Linked DNA regions of Callithrix jacchus. The protein of the gene in region 1 purifies or fractionates together with the protein of each later gene. This does not show direct contact. Links are inferred from orthologs where the notes say so. Each region holds a gene or a part of one and is shown on either strand. Other genes may lie near its edges.

What was found. The genes of interacting proteins can lie anywhere in the genome.
Region 2: the proteins of CKAP5 (region 1) and SLAIN2 purify together in Homo sapiens (affinity purification with mass spectrometry; 4 studies listed by BioGRID and IntAct, counting the BioPlex papers as one, with this or other methods). This does not show direct contact. The link is inferred for Callithrix jacchus from reciprocal best matches to the Homo sapiens genes CKAP5 and SLAIN2.

Annotation. Positions count from the first base shown.
Region 1 is NC_133511.1:111,814,388-111,818,045, forward strand, and holds part of CKAP5 (cytoskeleton-associated protein 5), read right to left. Parts: coding exon 3,579-3,658; intron 1,119-3,578; coding exon 993-1,118; intron 1-992. UniProt on the Homo sapiens protein: Binds to the plus end of microtubules and regulates microtubule dynamics and microtubule organization. Acts as a processive microtubule polymerase. Promotes cytoplasmic microtubule nucleation and elongation. Plays a major role in organizing spindle poles.
Region 2 is NC_133504.1:145,434,396-145,438,053, reverse strand, and holds part of SLAIN2 (SLAIN motif-containing protein 2), read left to right. Parts: intron 1-2,312; coding exon 2,313-2,672; intron 2,673-3,595; coding exon 3,596-3,658.

The sequences.
Region 1 (3,658 bases):
ACATCTTTGACAGAGAGAAAATTTTATATATATATCAAAATTATGCACATTGTTATTCTAGGAGTTTAACAAAGATAAACTGACATATGTGTACAAAGACCCACATTCAAAGATATTCACAGCAGCACTGCTTGTAACAGTGAAAGACCAGAAACAACCTAAATGTCCAACACAGTAGGCTAAGGATAAAGAAAGATATGTACATATAATGTACCAATACAAACAGTGACACACACATACATATACAGATACGAATAATCTTTCAGATAGTTCAAACATCATTAAAAGAAAATAGTGAGATACAGAACAAACAGTATGGCATGTCCCCATCTGTGTAAAGGAGGTTATATAAAAATATACATATGACAGTAGAGGTATTAAATATTTCTGGAGTAATACATTAAAAAAATGAGTACTAATATCCTCCCTGTGAAGGGATAATGGAAGAGAGACATGCTTTTCATACTATACTTTGCACTTTTTGTACTGCTTATAATTTTTAAAAAAGATTATGTATTGTGAAAACAAATTTTAGTACCTAATGAAATCAAAGCAAAATAAGAGAAATGACTGAACTAGCCATTTATTAAACAGTCACCAAATCTGCCTTGTAAGGTCTTAGAAAGAAAGATTAATGAAGAAGCTTATATGTCTAGTTAATTAAAAAAAAAACAACAACAATGAATATGTTCCATTCTTTGATTTTAAAAATGAAGAAACCAAAAAAAAGCTACTATATCATTTATTTCTATTTACAGGGACAAATAGGCAATAACTATATTCTATAGGTTTTTTTGGTAGGAAGTAATGCTCCTATAAACTAATATTTATTAAATATCTTAAATAAAGCAAAATATCTTAAATATCTTAAAACAAGCAAAAGAAACACTGAATTCCTAGATATTTCACAATAACATGAATTTCAGACGGCAAAACTATTCTTGAATAACAAAACAAGTAAAAATCTCTGACGATTCTTAATCCTTCCTTACCTTCAATCCTTTTTCATCTTTCATCCTTTGCTCCTTTCCATTTGGAACGACAATGAAAATCGGTCCAGATTTGTCTTCATCCTCCTTTAAGCTTGTTTTGCTTGGCACCTTCTTCCCTTGTGCACCCTACAACCAAGGTTCGGGGAATTCTGATTAGCTTGGCCACTTCTCCTTAAGAATATGATGCTGCTGCCCAGTAAAAGGGCACTATAGAAACCAGAGACATCTTTCTACATGATATTTCACATGAAAAAAAAATATGTCATAGAATCTTGTATACGTTTTTGAACAGGTTCTCCAGAAATTTTTCTGAGAATATTGTTAAGTAATTGTTGGTTAGCTCTTGGACTGGCATGCTATGTAGCTGTAAAAGCTACTACTACTGATCATTAGTCTAGGTCACAGACTTTTTGTTTATTGGATGATTGTTTTTATCTTGAAATCTTCAACACTATTTATAGCATTCCACATTAATGACATCTTTTTTTTTTTTTTTTGAGATGGAGTCTCACTCTGTTGCCCAGGCTGGAGTGCAGTGGCAGAATCTTGGCTCGCTGCAGTCTCTGACTCCTGGGTTCAAGTGATTGTCTTGATTCAGCCTCCTGAGTAGGTGGGATCACAGGCACCCACCACCACCCCTGGCTAATTTTTGTATTTTTAGTAGAGATGGGGTTTCACTATGTTGTCCAAGCTGGTCTCGAGCTCCTGACCTCAAGTGATCCACCTGCCTCAGCCATTAATGACACCTCGAATGGCATTTACACATTTCATATCACTTACTTTGAAAGCTTTTCTGTTTCTCTCCATTGATATTGAAATGTATCTCTATCATAACAGTATAACTAAAGGCCTTTCAAACTTCCTTCTAGAGAAAGTTATAAGAAATGCTTTAAAAACTTAAGTCACATGATTTTAAAAATAATCCAAGATTTACAATCTTCATATTAGATAGAAAATAGTAAAGAGTATATATGTTTAAGGTAAAATTCAAATTTCATTATTGGAATCATTATTATTATAAATGCAGCATGGCCACTATTTCTAGTTGGCCAGAATTTCTTTCTAGTATAAACACTAAGTCATTCAGACCAAACAAATATGAGATCATGTATATGAAACTGCTTTGTAAGTTTAAAAAGACTGGAAAAAAAACTGTGGCATTAAGAACGGAGTCAAAAAATACTTCAAAGCACTCGTGATCAACACTAAAATAAGCACTTGATAAATTTGGAGTGAGGACAGGCAGACAGGAAAAGAACAACATCTTTGGATAGTTGAAGATAATTACCCATTTAAATTAACTCACTGAGGAGTTAAAGAGCCAAGCATAGGGAAGAAAAATGGATAACTGTAATATTTAGAGGAATGACCCTAGAGCATGTACTCCAAAATACACTCTATTTTGGAGTGTATTTGTACATACACTGCCTAAAAAAAGTTATCACTCTATATTTTTTCATCAATTACAGGAAGTAAATTAAATACTTCCCTATTTAGATTTACTATTAAATTTACTACCCATTGCACAGTTTTTGCAATTTTCCTTTTGTAAGTATTAAATAATGCTCTGAATATGTTTATTAATCTGAATCTTGATAGAAATAATGACAATTTTCTGCTATTAAAAAACTTAAAATGAAAAAAATCACTCAAGGATAAAGTTGACCATTTGAACATACTGCTTTAAATTGTCCAACTTGCCGGGCGCGGTGGCTCACGCCTATAATCCCAGCACTTTGGGAGGCCGAGGTGGATGGATCACGAGGTCAAGAGATCGAGACCATCCTGGTCAACAAGGTGAAACCCCATCTCTACTAAAAATACAAAAATTAGCTGGGCACGGTGGTGCATGCCTGTAATCCCAGCTACTCAGGAGGCTGAGACAGGAGAATTGCTTGAACCCAGAAGGCGGAGGTTGCGGTGAGCCGAGATCGTGCCATTGCACTCCAGTCTGGGTAACAACAGCGAAACTCCTTTTCTTAAATCCAAATCAGCCTGAAGTGTTTATTATGCCAGAGCTACAAATGCTTTCTTTCTCCTTTTTTTTTTTAATTTCTGAGTCTCGTTCTGTTGCCCAGGCTGGAGTACAACGGCAAGATCTTGGCTAACGGCACCCTCTGCCTCCCAGGTTCAAGGGATTCTCCTGCCGCAACTTCCTGAGTAGTGGGGATTACAGGTGCATGCCACACCTAGCTAATTTTTGTATTTTTAGTAGATACAAGGTTTCACCATGTTGTCCAGGCTGGTCTAGAACTCCTGACCTTAGGTGATCCACTTGCCTTGGCCTCCGAAAGTGCTGGGATTACAGGCGTAAGCCACCACACCTGGCCCTTTCTCCTTTCAATAAAGCAAATCTTTCCCTAAAAATCTACATGAAAGGAACGATGACAGCACCTCTTCAGAGCAGGATGTCTCTATTTTAGGACCTTATTAAAAATGAGCCACAGAAATTTGTATAAATAATTTGTTAGTATCAACAGTAGTGATATTCTTTTACATATAATATGATCCTTCCTAATAGAATGACTCATTGTACAAAACATATTTAAAAGGAAGTCTACATTGAAGTATAGAGAACTGACATACCTTTGCTTTAGAGGATAATCCTGGAGCTTTGGCCTTTTTTGGATCAGGCTTGGGTTCTGCACTGCTGGAAACAGACTCTT
Region 2 (3,658 bases), on another chromosome or scaffold:
GTACTATGAGGGCCATATACAATTATGACATCTAAGAATTTTTTCGCACCCCAAGAACCAATTTTTGCCCTCTTGGGAATAAATATCTCCTCACTTGAGAATACATGGTATAAACTATAAAAAAGACCTTTAGGAGAAAATTGGAATTGTGACATTAAATTAAATGAAGCATGTGATGGTACGTTGCAGAGTGAACCATGAAAACTTTTTAGGCCACAGATACCTTTGAGACTCCTGTAAAAATTATGACTCCTGTTATCACCAAAATGTACACATGCACAGAATTTTTAATACTTTTTAGAGGGTTCATGGCTACTTGCCCTGGTCATCATCTGAAAGTAGTTATTCTTGTCTATGCATTTCATTAGGAGATACCATCTGCTTAACTATGAAGTAAGACATTTCTGTAAAGTAAACTCTTCAACCTTTACAATGAAAGAATCCTTGAAATACATATTTTAGAGTCTTGACAGTTGGCTGAGGGTAATGAAGCATTGCTATGATTTAGTTCAAAAACTTTCTGTTGTCTGTGTATATAATAGGTTCTCTTTAAATATAGTAAGCTTTATCAAGCTGTAGCATTTATTAAGAAACTAGAGTGTTTCTTACTCTGCTGATTTACTTCCCCTAGAAAAATAGAAGGACTTAGTGCTTGCTTTATTTAACCCTACAACCCAATAGCATAGTACTCTTTTCTTCTGTAATTTTAATTAACTCCTCACTGAGACCGTGGTATTGTCAGCTGGTTAGGGGCTGGTTATTGTTGTGGATGTGAAAAAATAAAGAATGCTGCCTAGCTCTATACCTTAGGATAATTCTCTTATTTCTTCGAACCCTGGCTTTTTAGATTCCAGTATTTTGTTACAAGCTCAGCCATCTCTTTGCTCTTGGTTTTGTATTGTGTTTTGGTAACAATAGAAATATTAGTCTTGCTTTAACAATTTTTCTAAGCCATTCACATGCATGAATATTTATTTTCCTGGTGAATAAAAATAATAATAAAAATATATGTGATACTTCTTTGAAAACTGCAGCTTCCCCTACCCACCCCTTAGAGATGATTTTCCTTTTTACAGCGTTGTTTTTTGTAAAACTTAGAAATGTAGAATTACAGAGTTAGGCAGTTGCCTGGTCAAGGTCATTCATTTTTAAGATGAAAAATGCAAGATCCTATAGTGATTGTGACTTCCTTAGGATCCACTTGTTAGGAGAGCCTACATTGGGAACTGGATTTTTCTTTTCTAATGGTGCTCTTTTCACTGGTCTGTTGTCTTTTGTTAGGTGACTTTAGTGCCATATTGGCTATAACTAGACACTAAGTAACTTGTTGGTTGCTATTTTGGTTCCCAAACTGAATGAAGGACTAAGTGGACTCTAGGAATTTATAGTTTTAAAGATACCCTAGGGTGATTCTCATCTACTAGTTTGATGAACCATGTTAGTAATAGCACTTTCTGTGTGCGAATGCAGGACTTGAGGATTTGAATACCACTTTATAACAGATTTTTTGACTAGAGTGCCAATAGTTAGCAGGACGTGCTGAGAGTATTACCTAAATTCTATACTTCTGCATTGCAGTTTGTTTCCTCATTGAATATGTTACATACGAACTTTTTTTCTCTGGTTCTAGAAGCATCTATACTCCTTGAAGTACTCCCAAGATTGCTTGGGTATTTTTGAAGGTATCAAGCTATATAGGATAATTCTTTCAAAATTCTTACTTGAAGACTTAGAATTTAAGCTTGAAAACAAGCTTAAAACAATAGAAATTGAAGTCTCTTGAGTAATGAAGCAATCAAGATTTCCTTTGTGCCCAAGTACTGAATCCCTAAATGTGGGTTAGGTGTTTGTTTGGTACTTTATCCTTTTCATGAGTAAGATTACTTCAATAATTAAGTATCCAAGGAGTTTTATTTACTCACATATGTATTCTTTTCCACTGGTTGGATGGTAATTGTTTCCCCTAAATATTCCTTTGATATTACTCTCAAATTTGGATTACTATCTTTAGGGGTAGACATTTTTTTAAATGTATGATTCTACCATGTGAGACAGATTTCAGATTTAAGAAGAAATCTGGAAATTGGGCAGTGGTTTATGGGATTTTGTTTAATTTTAAAATAACCTTCAGATGTGATTTATGCATCCTTGTATGGGAGGATGTCTAAAAGCAGAAAGAGAGTTTTGTTTTTGTTTTTGTTTTTTTTTTACACTTTACACCCTATTCGAATTGCTCAGTGATAATCTTTTACTTTAAAAATATTTAAATGTTTAAAAATATAATTTAAATAAATAACATTCATTGTTGCCAGGTCTCCGGCAAGAATATGCAGCCACCACGTCTCGGCGCAGTTCTGGTTCTTCTTGCAATTCTACAAGACGGGGTACTTTTAGTGATCAGGAACTTGATGCACAAAGTTTAGATGATGAAGATGACAATATGCATCATGCAGTATACCCTGCTGTTAACAGGTTTTCACCATCACCACGCAATTCACCTCGACCGTCACCTAAGCAGTCACCCAGAAATTCACCTCGTTCACGATCTCCTGCTCGAGGAATAGAATATAGTAGAGTGTCTCCACAGCCTATGATTAGCCGCTTACAGCAACCTCGCCTTTCACTTCAAGGCCATCCCACAGATTTACAGACAAGTAATGTAAAAAATGAAGGTAAATCAGCAGATTTTACTGTTAATTAGACAGTTTCTGCTAGTCTGTGCAACAACATAGCAAGAACCCATCTCCAGGAAAATATTAATTAGCTAGGCATGGTGATGTACATCCATAGTCCTAACAACTTAGGAGGCTGAGGCTGGAGAATTGGTTGAGCTCAGGAGTTTGAAGCTATAGTGAGCTATGATCACACCACTGCACTCCAATCTGGGCAACAGAGCGACACCCTGTTTTCATTTTGAAGTGTCCTTTATGTTTTGTTATGAAAGTAATACAATTTTTGCCAAGCTTTTGTATTTCAGATAAGTAAATCAAGAGTTTAGTCAAGTTTACTATTTTATTAATAGTAAATCATTACAAGAATAAAGGAGAAAGTGAATTTCATTTTACTTGCTATACGATTTGTGGTTATCTTTAAGGGTTCTCTTAATTTACCCACTTACGGATCCTAGGTTGAGTTTTTTTTGTTTTTTTTTTTAAAGACAAGTCCTACTTGTTTTCACATGTAAAATAAACAGAATATTTGGCCTGGCGTGGTGGCTCATATCAATAATCCCAGCACTTGTGGGAGGCCGAGGCGGGTGGATCACAAGGGCAAGAGATTGAGATTGTCCTAGCCAACATGTTGAAACCCTGTGTATACTAAGAATACAAAAATTAGTTGAGCTTGGTAGTGCACGCCTATAGTCCCAGCTACTCCGAAGGCTGATGGAGGAGAATTGCTTGAACCTGGGAGGCAGAGGTTGTAGTAAGCCAAGATTGTACCACTGCACTTCAGCCTGGCAACAGAGACTACATCTCAAAAAAAAAATCAAAATGTTAGATAAACAATATAATTTTTGAATGCTAATTAATATTTTAACTTTATCTAAAGAATGATTTGATTTTTAAAAAAATTTTTAATTAAAATTCTATTGCAGAAAAACTAAGGCGCAGTCTTCCAAACCTGTCCCGAACATCTAATACACAAGTTGACTCAGTGA